Caenorhabditis elegans: one gene and its partners. The protein of the gene in region 3 interacts with the protein of the main gene of each other region in a pairwise test. Each region holds a gene or a part of one and is shown on either strand. Other genes may lie near its edges.

What was found.
Region 1: the proteins of kdp-1 (region 3) and unc-84 interact in a two-hybrid assay, tested with the Caenorhabditis elegans proteins (one study listed by BioGRID).
Region 2: the proteins of kdp-1 (region 3) and sun-1 interact in a two-hybrid assay, tested with the Caenorhabditis elegans proteins (one study listed by BioGRID).

What each region holds. Positions count from the first base shown.
Region 1 is NC_003284.9:13,582,286-13,590,963, reverse strand, and holds unc-84 (Nuclear migration and anchoring protein unc-84), read right to left. Parts: upstream 6,190-8,678; 5' UTR 6,185-6,189; coding exon 5,988-6,184; intron 5,494-5,987; coding exon 5,213-5,493; intron 5,161-5,212; coding exon 4,332-5,160; intron 4,273-4,331; coding exon 3,830-4,272; intron 3,772-3,829; coding exon 3,508-3,771; intron 3,028-3,507; coding exon 2,872-3,027; intron 2,821-2,871; coding exon 2,363-2,820; coding exon of another isoform or gene 2,351-2,362; exon of another isoform or gene 2,293-2,350; intron 2,288-2,292; coding exon 1,967-2,287; intron 1,915-1,966; coding exon 1,642-1,914; intron 1,582-1,641; coding exon 1,468-1,581; 3' UTR 1,143-1,467; downstream 1-1,142. Other genes in the region: col-9 (Nematode cuticle collagen N-terminal domain-containing protein), read right to left, coding at 1-608, 762-929; srf-5 (WAP domain-containing protein), read right to left, coding at 8,364-8,443, 8,493-8,639. UniProt on the Caenorhabditis elegans protein: Involved in nuclear migration and anchoring in hypodermal precursor cells. Most likely recruits anc-1 to the nuclear envelope where anc-1 functions to tether the nucleus to the actin cytoskeleton.
Region 2 is NC_003283.11:13,190,390-13,195,781, forward strand, and holds sun-1 (Sun domain-containing protein 1), read right to left. Parts: upstream 3,150-5,392; 5' UTR 3,139-3,149; coding exon 2,757-3,138; intron 2,711-2,756; coding exon 2,607-2,710; intron 2,564-2,606; coding exon 2,360-2,563; intron 2,316-2,359; coding exon 1,896-2,315; intron 1,849-1,895; coding exon 1,537-1,848; 3' UTR 1,313-1,536; downstream 1-1,312. Other genes in the region: F57B1.1 (G-protein coupled receptors family 1 profile domain-containing protein), read right to left, coding at 3,606-3,755, 3,812-3,895, 3,942-4,094, 4,139-4,319, 4,365-4,494, 4,538-4,661, 4,717-4,860, 5,134-5,259. UniProt on the Caenorhabditis elegans protein: Involved in centrosome attachment to the nucleus. Required for zyg-12 localization to the nuclear envelope. Together with pot-1, it is required to anchor telomeres to the nuclear envelope in embryos.
Region 3 is NC_003282.8:13,298,211-13,302,427, reverse strand, and holds kdp-1 (KASH (Klarsicht/ANC-1/Syne Homology) Domain Protein), read right to left. Parts: upstream 2,241-4,217; coding exon 1,803-2,240; downstream 1-1,802. Other genes in the region: csn-6 (COP9 signalosome complex subunit 6), read right to left, coding at 884-1,284, 1,337-1,598; micu-1 (Calcium uptake protein 1 homolog, mitochondrial), read right to left, coding at 2,415-3,208, 3,258-3,501, 3,547-3,702, 3,876-3,936, 3,988-4,131, 4,182-4,217.

The DNA of each region.
Region 1 (8,678 bases), on a different chromosome or scaffold from region 3:
CCTGGTGCAGCAAACCCGACGATTCCGCCCAGCACCGATTGTCCAGGACTTCCTGGTTGCCCTGCCAAACCGTGGTTACCAGGCTGCCCGGGCGGTCCTGGTGGTCCTAGAGGTCCTGGTAGTACGTTTGACATTGACTGACCTGGTGGCCCCATTCCACCGGGCAGGCCGGGCTGTCCGTTCAGACCTGGAGGGCCTGGGGGTCCCTGTGGACATTGTTGACACTGTGATTGAGTTCTAGGTTGGCAAGGCGATGCGCCTAGTCCGGGCATTCCTGGCATCCCGTGACCACCTGGTCTTCCTGGTCGACCTGGTTTTCCTGGGTGGCCAGATGGACCGGGAGGACCTGGATTGCAGCATCCCATGCAGGTTCCTCCTTCTGACGCAACAACAATTCCGCTGCGTGGTGGGCTTCTCCAACCATTATTCTTCTTTTTCTGGGATCTATACCCAGTATTATAGCCGCGGGGTTTAATATTGCTTCCTCTTCCAACAGCGTAACCAGTGTTACCTTCACCTCTAGTAACAGTGTAAGCTTCGCGAATTGTTCGATTGTGGACGATGTCGACATCTTCGGTCATATCAAACCAGATTTCGTTTATAGACTTCTGAAAATATTATACTCTTAATTGCCGCAAACTTCTATGTAAAATGACAATTATGTTTTGCTAGGAAGAACTTCAATTACTAAAATGTTCAGGTATACACTACTAAAAACTATTTCAGCACAAAACATTACTAATGCTTAGTTTATCACTCACCTTGCAATATGCTCCTTCTCTGCTAATAGTCATCATTCCATTTTGTGCATGCTCGTAAATCAACGGTAGTGTTACACAAAGAAACGCTGTAGCTATTACTGAGCTTCCAACGACAGAGTACGCCACAAATTTGAAAATTCGTAATTTTAAATCTACACAGGACTCCATGAAAATTGAAGAAAATACAATGTTAACGCTCTCGCATGGTTTAGTATATATAGCCCGAGGAATACAAAAGAAATGATCAATGAATGTGTTAGGCGGTATACTCAATTAATGTCGTTTGCTGCGAATCCATCGGTTACGGTTTGTTATGCCAATCTAACACTTATTCACTCTTCCACATAATGGGTTTTAGTTCAGTTTTACAAGAACAAAAGATATTGAAATAATTTATGAAAATCGATAAAGTATTTTGAGATCAGGGGGTAAAGGCTGCAGAGAAATAGAGAGTGATTGGTTTTGCATTCAAATATATTCAGGCCAAGTATTCAGGAGACCGGTAAACTGCATGAAAATGTAATGATATTCTATACTTTGAAAAAAAATGGACACGCGCTAAAAATATAACAAGGGAACTGGAAAAATTTGGGAAAATGAATTGTGATTTGAAAAATTGGCAGGAGAGGGGTGAAATTGAAACATTTCGGAATCAGATCAATGGAAATTGAAAATTTGACCATAAAAACAAGATTAACAAAATAAATTAAACTTGAACAACTTTTCCATGAACACGAAGGCGGTAGAGACATGTGAACGGAGCTCCGTAATTGCTTGTCACCTCGAGCTCCACAAACTTGACAGGAAAATCGGGTTTGTGCTGAAAATGTTAATTCGATAATAGCCACACACTTGTCAAGAATTAATCATTCGGACTTACCTTGGCAAGGAAGAATTGAAGTGGCGGGCCATCAAGATCATAAGTGTAGTCGCCAATCAAAACTCTCGAGTTCAGGTCGTCAATCTGCTTGTAAGCCCAAACGAGGACTCCCTTTGGAGCACTCGACCGGTTCCCTTCTGGAGCAACTTCTGATCCAATGTGCTCATAGCTGATGCTAGAAACATCAATGAAATGAGACAGCTCGACAGCAATGTAGCCACGGGATTCTTTGAAGCACCAGCATTCCCCAGGAAACAGGGATTTGGAATTTCTCTGAAAATGAAAAGATAATAGGCTTGGAGTCAGAGGATCCTAAAGCGCTCACCTGAATGACAACTCTTGGAGAGTAATGGAAATAGTAGATTGGGATATCCCAAAACTTTTCCAGCCTTGTGTAGCTTTTGTACGTCTCCGAGCATCTTGTTGACACAACAGCTCCACCTGAGCTCTCCAGGGCATAGTCAACTTTCCCAGTTTTATCCGTGTCATACTCGTAGATCATTTGACGGATGATAGCTTCCAAATGATTCTTATCATATTGAATGTTGGTGTTTTCCATTTTCAGTTGCTCAATAATTGTGTTGTAGTTTTGCTCAAACTTTGCGCTAAGCTCTTGCTGGAATTGGGCGGACAACTCGGCGCGAAGCTAAAAATAACAAAAATCTTTATTATGTACATATGTACAAAACATCAATCATTCAATAATTGATTAGTTAGTTACCTTCTCCGTTACCTCCTTAATGATAGCATCTTTGTCAACAGTCTCAACAACGTTAGTCTGATGGATAATTACTGGGGCCGGAGTTGGCGCTGGGACTGGGATAGGTTTAGGTGCGGGGGCGGGAATTATCACTAGTTCTTCGTCCTCCACATCGGTGACTTTTCTCAGTGGCTCTTCAACAATACGCTCCACATCCGGAGTTGGGGTAATAGCTTGTGGAATTGGAATCACTTGAACAACATCTTCTGGAGCATATTGGCTGATGCGAATCCAAGCACGAGTGCACAAACTGAATGGGTAGGCAATGAGGAAGAGAATCCAGTTAATTACAGTTTTGAGCACGGAAACCACGGAGTTGTACACTTTTCCAAAGACTGCCGCTACCTCATTGAAGAAATACATGTAGTTATCACCAGCAAAGTTGAACACTCCAGCGATTGGTGCATAAATGAAGTTATCTGAAGAAAAAACACCATTTAAGTTTATAGTTTGAAAATTGTAGCACTTACAAAAAATGTTAGTGATTCCGGTGCCAAATGACTTGAGAAGAGAAAGAATGGAGTTTTGGGAAGAAGTAGAAAAGTTTAAGAGACCGGCAAAGATAGTTGAGAAAAAGTTGTAAACAGCATTTGAAGCATTGTAGATGAAGCTCTTTGTATGGCCAACTGTAAAAAAAGCGATTTTCTTTGGTTTTTTGTAGTGTCTTTCTTGTTGTAAATACAAATAGTGAAAACAGATAATATCATTTTTTTACGTGTAAATGGTACTTGCTGGTACTACAAAAGTTTTTTGATGTTTCAAAAAAAATTAAATAAAACGTGAATGGTATTTTAGGCTTAGGATTCTACTCAATTAATAACTCAAAAAGTTAATAAGTTCTAAGCCTGAAAAATAAAATAATACTAGCATGTTGCTCAACACTTTTATTTCCATTTTATTTCATTCGTTACAAACATTTTGGAATTCAGTTTTCTATTTCACAAATACCAAGTAAATTACTGTTCTGAAAAATAAAAGCTAATACTCATGTCCCATTGATAAGATGTTGAAAATTACTAAAGATTTCCAGCATAATGGATTGATCGAATTTTAATTTTTTAAAGTTTTACCACATTTTGACTGCATACAATTTGTATTTTCCTTACCAATTGCTGTGCATCCGTTGTACAAGGTCTCGTAGCAACCGTTGAAAAAGGTTCCGATAGACTTGTTTGCTGACAAGAACCCATCTGAGCCATAGTAAAATAGCTTTCCAGCACAAAAATCGATGAATCGAAAACTCGATGAGAGCACAGATTTTAAGCCATTTCCAACAGCGCCACATCCGCTTGCAATCAGGTCCCAAGCATAACGTGGAGTAGTGCCAAGTCTACCAATCGTCGACTTTCCATAGTTGTACGTGTCAAATGCTGGAATTTAAAGATGTTGTTTTCTACACTGAACAGAAAAATGAGATTTATAACATACCAATATCTACAACAAATTCCTTCACCATCCATGTGTAATGTTTAACGTGATTTGCAGCTGAAATCCAGATTGGCACAGCTGGGAGGGATCCTTCCGACTTCTTAGATGCATTCTTATCTTTGGTAATTTCTTTAACTCTTATTGCTGTGTTGTCAGATGTCAGGAATCCAAGGAGAAAGATGGCGAAGAGAAGAGCCAGAAGTAGACCGAGAATTTGACACCACGAGAACTTTGATGATTTCTTATCGGTAAGACCAGCAAATAGTCCTCCAAAATAGGAAACTGTCTCAACAATTCCTCCTTTGAACATTGCAAATACCACTTGATGCGCTTCAACGATTGTTGCTACGAATGAGCTCAAGAAATCGGCAATTCGAATTCTCCAAGAAACACCAACAGCATCATGAACATCTGATGAACTTGGTGCCGGTTCGTTGATATCTCTGTATAAATAACATGAAAAAAATTGAACTCGGTCATCATAAATTTAAAATGTTCATACCTGACATGAATAGTCTCCATTGGCGCTTGCTGATAATTGGTCAGCTTCATGTAGGCACTCTTTCCATAATCGTAGAACGTATACCATACATGTCGTGCCGCAAAGAACGGGAACAATATCAAGTAACCTAGCCAAGTGAATGCAGTTTTAATCTTATTTCCTGTCGCTTCTTCGTATTGATAATTGTAAGTTTCTTGTGGGAACAAAGGCGTGGAAGTTGCAGCAGCATGACCAATGTCAAAAGTTGGTTCAGGAGTATTCAGATGACTCAGTCCTCGGCTTCGAAGTCCATATGTGGAGAGTGGTGTGTCGATTTCGAGTTCCGGAGTATCGAGTGCTCGAGTTATAGCTTCACGAGTGGCACGGGTTTGGCGGAATCTTGGGGTAACTGAGCGTTGCTTCACTGTTCTAGTAGTCACAACAGTCGGGGTTATATTTTCGGACGTTCCTTCTCCGAATGGAGAGCTCGAGAACACCTTGGCAGTGATTCTGGTAATTGTACTAGTCTTCACAAAGGCTGGAGCTGCTCGGCGTGCTGGTGATTTCGATAATCCATCAAACTTGCGGCTTCTTTCCAATGTTTGAGATCTTGTCGTCATTCTGCTAGCTCTCTCATTTTCCAATTGATCCTTGATCGAACGGTACTGGTACTGTTCCACGCCATTGTTACTTCTTGTGAGCATTCTGTAAGGAGTAAGCACGACGTAGACAAGGATCTCAAAGAATCGACGAATAGAACGAGCAGCCTTAGTGGAGAATGGCTCTTGCCGGTTGCGAATGAGAGCTGTACGGCGACGATGATCTTGGTAGGCGTAGTAACGAGTTTTCGCTGAAAAAAAATTTTTTTTTTAATTCTAACATTTTGCAGAAAAACAACTTACCGAGTTTCACCAAATACAACAGGTAGTCCCAGATGGTGAAGCTAGTGATCTTGATGACGTGGTAGAAAGCTTCCAAAATGTAGGTGATGACGTGAAGAACAAGGTAGACGGGGAAACGGAGGATATAGAGAAGCTGTCTGCTGAGACTGGCCGCTGACCAGTGCTCCTGCTCAGAGAGTGATCCTGAAGTAGTACCACCAAGGTTTGGCACTTCCCAGTGGTCCGGCAAGGATGGATCGTAGATTTTGCTGTATGCGTATGTGTAGTTGGTTGCGTATGGTCTGAAAAAGAAATTATGAAAATTTTATTACATTAGGAATATAAGTTCAACATTTGAAAATGCCAGGAAAAGTTAATCTTCTATTATAGGTTTCGTTTCGCCTTGGTTTTCTAATTTTTATACAAGACTTGTAAACACTACATATTTAAAATTAAACAACCAACATTCACACAGACTTAAAACTCAAAAAGAAACGGAACCACCAAGAGCTCACTGGTAAGTGACCTTTATTCTTCTTCTTCCCGCTCAGATTCCTTCGCCTTAACCCACCCTTGTAACCCGATACTTTCTGGTGTTCTACTTTTCCTCTTTTCCACCTCACTGCTCAGAACAACACAGCTTTTACATATTTGTCAAAGGCTTCTAGGGCGTCAAGTACAAGCAAACTGAGTTCCAAAATACACAAACAAAACGTGGCCTAGCAGGTGCGCGTGAAACCTCGGCCGTATGTGGCGCGAAATTTGAATGAGAAAAAGGGGGAGGGGGGTAACATACAAGTCGCCTGTCAAAGCATCCAGCTCTTCTTCGGTAAGACGTGGCGATCTGGCGTTTCGAACTGGTGGAGTCAGGAGAAGCTTCCGGCGAACTTTTGCAAAAATGTTTGGAGAATTGCGTCCAGAGCGTGTGGATGCGAATTCCGATTTCCATTCATGGGTGTCGAAGTTGTTGTCGGCTTCCGTTGCGGGAGCCATAGTACCTGCAAAACACAATTTTAAGGAAGATATTAAAGATATTAAAGAGCGGTGAAAAAAGAAGTATTGAAGTGAGAATAAAAAAGTAACAAAACTTGCAAGCATCGAGTCTCTGTCTTTGTTTGATTTTGAACTACGCATGATTCATCGCACCAAAATCTGTGCGCTTTACAGAACGAGCAAACACTTTTATGAAGACAAAAGGGCTTGAGAAGGAAGAAGACTGGGAGACGTTCGTGTTTCTCACGATTATAATCACCTGTTGGTTTTGATGGGCTGAGAAAAGAATATATAATACTGCCTGATTTTATTATGAAATTTAAGAGAAAAAAACTGGCAAAAAAAACAAAACATATCACATCACAACAAATTAAATACGCAACTTTTCGAAACATCGCAAGGCAGAAAAAATTCAAACCAATGTTGTTTGTGTGCTCACCCCGTCGGGCCCTCCGTCTCTTCACCTTGCACACTATACTCGAATCGATATTGTTTGTGTGAGTGTTTTTCTGGGCGAAAGGAGGAGAAAGGGAGGGCACACACATACACGCAACAGTGAGCGTCGATTTAATGGTTTCGGTCGGTCACCCCAGTCTCCAATCGCCATCACCCCCGCCGAATGGTGCAGGTGGTGGACAGCAGATAGGGGGAGAGGGGGTGAGGCAGTGTGTTTTTTGTAGAGAGTAGTTGTCTGGCGTACGGTGACAAGCGATGGAACCGAGTGAGGGAGTGTGAGATGGGAAGAGAGAACACCAGAGAAGAACATGCATCTACGTGTTGCCCTCTAAACACGTAAACAGGCCGAAGGAATTAGGCATCATTGCAATGGGCAACAAATCGGTGAGAAGTACTGTGAAAGAATCGGAAGTGTGTCTCGCCTTACCACGTAACCTTGAGGCTAATTTACAAGCCCAATTGAAAAGTGTTGTAACGATTAGACACAGTCAAGAGCAGATACGGAGAAGTTACTAGTTTTCAATAAACGTTTGTAGAAGAACATGAAATACATATCAGTACGTCAGATATAGGCTATCAGTAAAATAAACCCTCAACCAAAAACACAAGCACAATCTGCGTGTCCACAATGTTTTCCGCTTTAAGTACTGAACTATGTCTGTTTTTTTTATAAAGCACAACTTCCAGATCAGTTACTTCGGCCTGCGTGGAAGGTTTGAATGATTTTAAATTCTCAAATCAATCGCATGGCTCTGATCTCTGGTGTTGTTTTTGTTGACTTTTTCTACAATTTTTGAACAGTGATCTATTGGATTCACATGGTTATGAAACTAACAAAAACTACGGTGTTTATTTACTATAGCAAAACTTTTTTCTAATTTTAACTTTTAAAAATTGAAATCAGGTTCTTCTAGAATATTGAAAATGCCGCTTTTCAAACTGAAATCAATTTTTTGAGTTTTTGAAATCAATTTTTTGAGTTTTTGAAGCCTACTGCCAACTTTTTGAAAAACTAATTCAAAAGTTTTCCAGAAGATTTTCAATTTTTAAATTTTTTTGTTGTATTTTCATGTCTATTCACAGAGTGAAAAATATTAAAAAAATATATAAAAACCAAATTTATCAAGAACTAATCAGATTTCCCATTCTCAAATTTCCAAACATCTTGATCGAATTAATCGGGATTTTGATGGGTAATCAAGTGTTAAATATGTTTTAAAGAGGGAGTAGTTTAAATGGGGAAAACATCAAAGCTTATAATGCAGTGCATACTGAGGAATTAAAAGAGAAACTGAACATTTTTTTGAAAAATGAGAGAATATGCTTGAAAATTTATTATAATTTTAAGTAGACGCTCAAGTTTTTCATTTTCTAGATTGATTTTTTTAATACAAAACTTTCTGTTTGTTAAAAAAAAACAAGTTTATATAACAGTCAGTGCGCGCGAAATTCAAATTTCATCCACTTCAACTATGTTTGTCGCTTTAGAGTAAAAAATTATCGGTGTGAACTTTTCTCACTCTTTTTCTCAATAACGTCCTTTTGACTTGCTTCGTTTTCAAAAATAAAACACAATATTTTTTATGGAGAAAGTTTGAAAAAAAAAAGAAATTGAGCGAATAGGAAAAGTGAAAAACGTTTCTGCAAATAAAGCTAATCCAAGAGAGCAATGAGCAAACATTGACGTTCAAACGTGAGGAAAAAACGAAATAAAGAACAATTTTCAGAGCTCAGCATCTTCCATTTCTGCTTCTTTAATGTCGGCTTCAATTTCTTGTTGTCGCTTCCATTGGTCAATTTTATCTGGAAAAGCACAATTTGATTTACTTTCAACATTCATATTTGCACTTACAAGTGTGAGCACAACAGAAATCCATTCCACATCTAGAATGCACACACGAATACGGTTTTTGACATTTGACTCCGCCCATTGCGTCACAAGTCTGTGGGGTATCATCTGCCTTTCTCATCACATTCCAACCTCCGGGACAGTAATCCTCTACAAACATCGAATTTGTTTGATGGATTAGAATACAAA
Region 2 (5,392 bases), on a different chromosome or scaffold from region 3:
ATAAAAGTTTGGAACTGCAGCCGCCGTTCGAATGGCCGATTGGTGAACTCTCGTGCTCATTAATCTAAAGGTCACGGGTTCGTTCCCCAATAGGTATTAATTTTTTTTTGAATTTTTCCTCTAGCATGAAATATGCACAAAAACACGGTTTCTTTCGTTTTTTGGTAACTTCGGAATAAATTTTTTGGTTCCTGAGAATCATAAAAGTAATTTGGAAAATTTTTGGAAGTTTTCTTTTTTTGATAAATTTTCACTTTTTTCCCACCTGATATATGCACATTTTTTTCTTCAAAAATAATTTTTCAAAATTTTTTCAAAAAGTGTTTGGTTTGAAAGAGCAGCATTAGTTTGGATATTTCTACGATTTTGGAGGATCAAATGTCATTTTTAGGAGAAAACCACTGTTGTTTTCTCTAGAGTTTTTCACGAAAAGGACTTACTTTCAAAGACTTCCAGCTCCGTTGACGGGTAAAATAAAAAAAAGTTGTCAACTGCAAAGTTGTTTTAAAAGTACCAATAAACAAATTGTCAGTTGAATCTACTCTGCTAAATTTTATGGGTAAAGAGATATAGCTAATCGAAGTGAAGCTTTAACTTACGTTAGTAAGTTAAAGCTAAAGTTAGCAGAGTAAATTCAATTGACAATTTGTTTATTGGTACTTTTAAAACAACTTTGCAGTTGACAACTTTTTTTTATTTTACCCGTCAACGGAGCTGGAAGTCTTTGAAAGTAAGTCCTTTTCGTGAAAAACTCTAGAGAAAACAACAGTGGTTTTCTCCTAAAAATGACATTTGATCCTCCAAAATCGTAGAAATATCCAAACTAATGCTGCTCTTTCAAACCAAACACTTTTTGAAAAAATTTTGAAAAATTATTTTTGAAGAAAAAAAATGTGCATATATCAGGTGGGAAAAAAGTGAAAATTTATCAAAAAAAGAAAACTTCCAAAAAGTTTCCAAATTACTTTTATGATTCCCAGGAACCAAAAAATTTATTCCGAAGTTACCAAAAAACGAAAGAAACCGTGTTTTTGTGCATATTTCATGCTAGAGGAAAAATTCAAAAAAACGAAAACGGCACTTTGAGCAAAAAGAGGACTACTTTTTAAGGCCGAAAATTTCAGCTTTGGGGCAGAGTTAAGCAGATTCCAAAAAATGATTTTTGTAGCCAAAGACCTCATCTGTCATTTAAAGTTTGTTTTGTCCTCCTAGCGATTGCAGGGGTAACACCATTCCCTAGTTAGCAGATGCGAAGTTTTCTCTTGTAATCACCACTTCCCTGCTGCTCTCGTGCTTAAAATTCAGAACACAATTTAAAACTTTGAAACTTTAGATTAGAACTTTCAAGAAATAAACAGAACATGACACATTAATAAAAAATGAATAAAGCAATGAAATACAAACGGTAACGTGGATAGTAAAGCGGGACAAAACATTTGCAAACGATTTCAAAGAAGCAATATTGAGATTCATAGTCAGTGGGGAACGTGAAAATGATATAAAAACAAGTTGGGCAGGAACAATAATACGGCGTTTCTATGCGGTTTCTGATACAGAGTTAACAATTGCAGATTCCAACTTTGATTCAGTTCCATTATCCGTCATTGGTTGCGTTTCCTTTGGTGGATCGACTGGTTCCCCGTAAACACGAATCAAATAAGCACATGTCTTTGGCATATCTCCATGATTTTCGCGGAAACGGAATTGCACGTGATTGATCGGTGAGTGATTTTGAATTGTTGGCACCGAACAGAATTGTTCTTGCTCGTCATAACTTCCATCACGTTCCTTATATTCACAGTTGGCGACAAGAGGCTGCCATTTGGTGCAACATGAGTCCGTGCATGCCTGAAAATATATAATTAGTTACTGAACACAATTTTTATATAGCTTACCACGACATCGTAGAGCTTCGGGGCATGATTTGGAACAATCCCGCTCCATCTGACATGTTGATACGAGACACTTTTCGGTATGACAAATCTAGCGAGCTTCACGGTCAAGGTCGCACGTTTATCGTATGTGCACCACGCTTCTCCTGGGGATAGAACGTCGCGATCAAGCAAAGCATATCCCTCCTGGAACGTTCCGAAGTATGACATGAAATCGTAGAAAAATCCATCTTTTGCAGAAACTGGACGTGATGAACAAGAATGATCGATTGATGCACCAATAAGACTGTTGGCAACATTCACTCCAAGAAGTGCTCGGCGTGTTATGTGCATTGGTTGAAGCTGGCTAGAGGGAGGAAGCGATGCAGTTGGTGCGGTCTCTGGAGCCTTTTCTGGTGTACTGTGGATGATCTTTGTGCTTTTCTGAAAAATTAGCATTGGGAAAATATATTAAATTTGAAAATTACCGCATCATCGATTTCCTTTTTCATTTGTTGCAAAGCATCGCTAATTTCTGCTTGCCATAATTTGATCTGTTTGAGCTCTTCGATTGCCGACTCTTTCCATCCTTTGCTGTGTTCCAAAACGTTTTCCAGTAGTTTTTCCAAATGGTCAGTTTTGAAATCGAGTTGTTTATCGTGCGCCGAAAACTCTGCTCGGAGATTGGAAATCTAAATAATATAAAAATTTATTCTGACTGTTCATTCATTGTACCGTCTGATGAAATTTCTGTTTTTCGGACGCCCAATTCGCGTCTTTATCCGCGTAGGATCCTTCTGAATTATGATGCGTTCCATCGAATAAACAATCACGAGCATCTGAAATTATTCATTTAGATACCCACAACACGTTTTCCCGACTCACACTTGTATAACATAGCAAAAAGAACAACAGCCATAAGAGTACGTTTAAACTGGGCCCACGTTGGAACAAAACGACGCCGAACCATGCGAATGCGATATTCCAGCCAGTCATACCACATTTCCTTCTTCATCGAAGTGATTTCTTTGTAGCTAAAATGCTCCTTGTAAATAAATTTCGAAGAGTTCAGATCAATTTCAGAATCGTCAGCCGACTCATGAAATCTCTGAATGGTGCCTGTAATCGTTCCAGGTTGGGAATCTCGCCGAGTAACTGGAGTAGATGTGTCTAGCGGCTGATGAACTCCTGTTCGAGATACAGAACGGGTAACTGGAGGACTGTGGCGATTCGAAAACTGCGGTGAGATGGTGTGTCGCAACGCCATACCGAGTAGATCTGGAAGTTTAGAAAGAAATTGAATGAAAAAAGCCTGTGCGGAATTGTAATTTGGAAATTAAGAAACAATGCAATATTTTCAAGAGCGAGAAAGTTGTTTCAATTAAAATAATTATGAATTAATTGAAGTTTAACTGCACTTTACAAAGCATAAACTTTTTAAATGCTTTATATTTGTCTTAAAACAAAAAATATCCGAACTGAATTCGAAAAATGAAAAAAAAAACCAGAAAATCGAAACCTCGAATTCAAGCAGCCCCGCACTGATTGCGGCAATTCTCAAGATCGCGTCGAGACCCTCACCGCTGACGTATTGCACCTTTGAAAGTTACTGTAGCAGTAAATATGATTTGGCAGGCACAGAAATTTTTTGCGAAGAGTTTGTTCTCATTAAAACACGAGTATTTATTCTAATATTGGCAAAAACATTTTAGAAACTGATTTTAGTAATAAAAATTAAATCGCTCTCGAAGTTTGCCTTCTCTGCTGTGAGTTTGAATTGGCTTGTGAAGTAGTGAGAGAAACTCTCACAGAAACGAGTTTCCGAATTTCTTTTGAAGTGAAAAAGAAGAAGCACGGCGTTGCAGCTCCAGCGCATATTTCAGTCTGCAATACGGATAATTTTTCAAGATTGCTATGGAAAAATTAAAAAAAAAACGAACCGTATTAATAATCCGTTTTATCAAAAATGCAGTTGCTATTTCAAACTTGATAGTTTGGCATAATAGGAAAACCGACGATGAAATCTGGAAATTTTTTTTTTCATTTTTTCGTTCTTAAATCAAACAGGACCTGAAATAGGCAAAATATAAAAACCGCCTGTTTCAAAATAGTGAGCTCGTATTTGTTGAGTGCTGCTTTTTTCATTAAAATTATTTTAATGATAATTGCAATATATATTCCCAGAATAAATATTGGAAGAATAAATTGTATTAAAATTTCAATCTGAAAGTGTTTATTGGACTGGATATTTTCATTATTGTGCTTACAGTTTGTACAATTGTCGGTGGAGCAATATTTTTAATTCCACTACTAGTTTCACAACTCAAAACATAATGTTTCATTAAAATTCGTTCATCATATTCATATTGGCAGTTATTCATAATCATAGACACTACAACAAAAGCAGACAATACCCATACCATTCCCATCCAAAAGTATGTTATCGGTCTGGGATTAGTAGATTAAAATTCCAAAAATTTCAGAATTCCCTACTTTTCAAAAGCAATATCCGTGTGTTTTTTGAAAAAGAACACAAACATCCGATGTATTGCAATTATCAAGTTTGAGAAAAGTATTGCATTATGACAGAAATCGATTACATTGGACATGTAGTAGAATGAGGCTGAACAAAAAAAATGATTCAAAATTGATTCAAAAAAAGTTACCGGATTGAACGAATTCCTTGGTTATCAAAGCAAATAATGTCGCTGGTACATTAATTAAAAAGTTTAAAGAAGACATTATGAAAACAGAAATGGTCAGTTGAGTTAAAAACCAGAAAAATATCATCTGAATTTTTTCAATAAATTCCTTGGAAAAAGTTATGTAAAACGTGTTTCATTACTTTTTTGAAATGGCTCCAAAGGATCACAGAAAGAGCCAAGAAAACTCCAGTCAAAATAGTTGATGCAAATGTGGACATAACAAACAAGGTGATAATAAAATAATAGAGCCCATCCTTATCTTCTGGTGGAATGTTACCAGCTACCTTACAAGTTAAACATTTAATCTGCGACAACTATTTCATTTCAGCTAGTGTTTTTTCAAGCTCAACTGGTTCAAAACTGAATACCAGCGAAATTTTTCGAATTATTTTTTGAAAAGCTGAAGTTGTGGTAATTTACCAAAATTTTAACAAAGTTCAATCTAAAACATATTGGAGTTTAGAAATGATATTTGCAAAATTTTAAAAGATGAAAAAAGTTTTGAATTCAGGTTTCACCAATATTATAATTTGAAAATAGATTTTAGACCAACTGACCTCTCCAAGAACCGTGTCTTTTAAATCAGATAAATTCTTTCTTCTAATAAAGTCATTAGAAAATGGATCATCTCCTTGTCCATATACTACATTTAAAAATATCAAAAAGTAGAGTAGAAGAAACATAGATTTCATAAACTCAACAAATTGAGTACGCTGATTATTTTGGAAAACTGAAAAGCAGGTGGAGTCAAGAAATCAATTAATTTCAAAAACTCAACACATGACTAGATGAAATTTTCAGCTTTGATGTGAGATC
Region 3 (4,217 bases):
AAAGTTATGACGGCTCAAAAAATGGCCTAAAATTAGTTAAAATTTGAAATTTGACCGTCTTGCAATGTTGCAGCGGCTGGAAACAATTTTTTTTTTTGAAAGCACCGTCAAATTTTGAGCATACAATGTCATTATCTTGCGTTTTTAACTCGATTTGGGTACTTTAAAGTCGATGGACGGCGAGATTTCGTAAAAAAAAAATTAAAAATATCGCCGTCCATCGGCTTTAAAATACATAAATGAAGTTGAAAACGCAAGATATTTAAATTTTATACTCAAAATTAGATGGAGATTTCAAAAAATTAGTTTCCAGCCGCTTGACAAGTCGGTCAAATTTCAAATTTTAACTACATTTAGGCTATTTTTTGAGCCGTCATAACTTTTTTTTGAGACGTTTTCAAGAAGTTTCATTATGAAATTCGGTGTTTTCAGTCAATTGTGAGTCTAATAAAGCAGTAAAACTATTTCGACTATTCCACTTTAGTTTGCTGCTGTATTGATTTTCATAACGAGATTTCTCAAAATAATATTAATAAACTTTTTAAGTATGTCAAAATTTCAAAAAAAAATAAGAGCCAAAACTGTCTAAATTCTGAAATTTCGCAAACTTTTCATGTCGCAGCAGCTGTTGTTACATATTTTAGTCGTTTAGCTCGCAATTACTAGTAAATGGAGGTACTTTTTTCAAACATTTTTTCCAAAATTAGGTGTCAATCGACTGAAAATGTGTCTTAAATCAACGAATTAATGCGAGATAAGATCGAAATATGCATTTTAGCGAATTTTAGGTATTATTTTAAAATTTTTGAACCGCTAAACAGCATTTTCAGAAGTCTCATTATGAAATTTTGTCTTTTTCTGGCCTCCAATTTCTCGAACGCACATCAACCCGATTCTGAAGCATGCTCATTGCTGCATCTTGAGCCTCCGCGTGTTTCTTTCCAACTGATTTCCCGTCTTTTCCATGTTTCGTTGATAACTTAGCGATATGATTAACACCGACACGTTCACTTTCTTCCGACACTAAAATCCATTCAATTGGCTTATGCTTCTCCTGATCAGTCACGTCTGCTTCAAACGCGAAAAGTGGAAGTTTACGAGTGGTTCCAGCAGTGATAGAGTTGAGTTTAAGGAAAAGTGTCGCGTCGATTTGTCCGGCTTTCTCTGAATTGCGAACCGCATTGGTGAGTTTTGAGAGAAGAGGTTTCTCTTCGGGAGTCAGATTATCATCCTCCCCAGCACAATAAAGACCGATAACTTGGAGCTCGGGAAACACTTCCAGATCTGAAATTTGGGGAAAAAAAACTAAAATGAGCAAGAACAGAGTAAAACTGACATTGATCTGCTCTTTGAAGGAGATGCTCCGTGCTAAAAGTAACCGGCTCAGCCATTTCTTCTGTCTCCATTTTCAGAACAAATGAATTGATCGCCTCGACTTGTCGTCCATTCTGCCGTCCGAGAATTGCTCCGAACACTTTTTTCACAGTAGGACCCTGTTGGACCTTTGTTCTGGAGTAGTGTTCGGACATTTGCATAATAACCAAAGGATGCAAAAGCACCTTCGAGCTACAGCTCCCGCTTGGTGCGTTCAATGCCATTTCTGAAAATTATTTCGAAATTTGGTTTCGAAATCGGTTTTTTTGTTTCAAGCCAGATAATGATTTGGAAATTTTGAAAATATTCCTGGATTCACTGGTGGAAAAACAAGCTAAACGGGAATTTTATTGATTCACATTGACATAAGTTTTACAGAACATAAAACTTCCTACAAAAAAGAGATAATGCAATCGAGTGGAAATTATTTAGGATCCTGGAGCCTTGACGTGGCTAAGTGGTGGAAGTGGAGTTCCGTTGACCAACGAGATGAGGTTGTAGATGGCGATGACAAAGCAGATGTAGGAAAGGACCTTGGCGATCTTGCTGACAGCGACATCGAATGGTCCAGCCTCTTCGGACTTCTTTCCTTCGAGAAGAGCATTGGCGTAGGTATCAACTCTTTTCTTGAGGATTGGATCGTAGAGTCCGTACTTTCCCATGACAAGGTTTCCGCATTTGGTTCCCTCTGGCAGACGTGGAAGGATCTTTCCTCCGGCTCCGAGTTGCCACTCTCCTGGGTTCAGTGGATCGAATTGTTCGAGGGTTGGTGGGGTCTTTCCGGCGTTGGTTGGAACAGCCTGGAAGCTGGCGGTTCTCATGGAAAAGCGAGCGACGCCCAAAGTCTTTCTCAAAGCCAACGACATGATTTTCCTGAAAAATGTGTTTTAAAATGTGGAGAAAGAAATAAAGAATAAAAAAATGAAATTAAGATAAGAAAAGTGAAACGAACACTTTTTATGAACATAACAAATATAATTTGTTAAAAAGAATGAAAAGCTTTATTTATAAACAAGTATTTACAGTGGCCATGGGCACCACTAATAAAATGGAAGAGGACTGGCGTGATAAGCTCGTTTTCCACATTCCAGAACTGCATCAAACAAACGGAAAAGTCCAGTATCTCTTGGTCGCTCTAAACCTCTACGCATTCTTCTCCTCATCACAGCAACCATTTCTTCATGTGATAATTTTCCATCCAAATTGTCATCGAACAAAGTAATCACCACATCCACAACGTGATCCGATAGAGGTATTCCAGTCACTTTGACCGCAACTCGTTGAAGTAGCTTCGCATCTATCGACATTCCAGCCATTTTATGAAAGTGTAGAGCAATATCTACATCGTCAATGTGATACAAAAACTCGAAAAATGCTTTCGTCTCTCCAAAACTGATTCCTTTCAAATTTTCTCCTTTAAATCTTCGTTTAACCCGCTTCAACATATGCTTCTGTTTCTTCTCATTAATTTGAGCATGAAGAAGGAGAAGTTGAGCAAAACTATCTTCGTTGATAAGTCCATCCGGGTTATCCAGTGCATCTCTCCGTTCAAATTCCATCTTTAAAATGTCGTGTTGTAGACGCTCTTGAAACTCGATAAATTTTTCAGACGACAAGCTCCCCTTTCCGTCTTTTCCAAAGAAATATGTTTCGAGAGCGGAGTTTGTCTCGACACGGAACGACTGGTTTGGCGTTATATGATCTCGATGACGCTGTCCTACAGTTGTTTGGGACATAATAAGCTGTTGAACTTTTGTGAATTCTTCTTTATCCAGCGCACCGTTCCCATCTACATCGAAGATTTTGAATGCGAGAGCGAAATCCGCGTGAGAGGCTGGAAAAGTCAATGATATTTTGAAAGAAAAACGAGTATTAAAACTCACTTGAGAGCAGAGTCATGAGAAACAGATAATCACTGAAGTTTATGAGACCGTTCTCGCCGAGCTTGTAAAAAATACTGTCAGGGTCGGAGAACTTGTGACGTTTATGCTTCTCAGGATTATAGTTTTTAAAACTATCAAGCCCCCAACGTCTCGGCTGCATCACACCCGGAGTGAAAGAACGGAGAAAATCCTCAGGAGTCATGAAAACTTCAAAGCGTCCACTGTCTTCGTTAGGATCGATGATCTGAAAAATACAACTAATAAATAGATTTTTGTCAAAGTGACTCACTTTCAGGGTCGCAAAGTATCTGAAAATCTTATCCGGAGTGGAATAAAGCCTCAATCTGTCTTCATATTCTATGATTCTTCGCTCTCTGAATCCCAGTTTCTTCTTCTTTGGCTTTTCTTTGACTTCCTCTACTTCACCATTGCTTTCAGTGACTTCCTGAAGACCGCAAATTAGAAAAATTGCAGGAGTGATAGAAAAATAAACACGTGAGAGGTTGTAAACCTAAGAAGCTTGTGAGAAAAATTAACAGAATAACTGAAACTGACTATTTTTATCTTGAAATCACAACACACAAGCTGGTATTAGGTGAACTAGCAGGAGCAGCTCACTTCTTTTTGTGATGCTTCTGGACGGAACGGCAACGATGCGCTCTTGATCTGATCCTTGAGCCTGAAAAAGCGGTGAAATACGAAAAACAAATCGACGCAGGAGAGCACGAACCATTCGAAATCACTCATCAGGATAACCATTCCAGCGATCACCAAGGCATAATTCCAATGGTACAGCTTTCTGAGCGGTGGCCAAATATACGGGCGGTGCTGATAAACTGAACTGGAGTAATGGGAATATCCAACGCCGCTTGCTCTGAAAAATACATTTTATTGAGTAAACCGGGAGAATATTGACTATATTACCTGTCTGTGTAGTGAAAAACATCCTTTTTCTGCCGA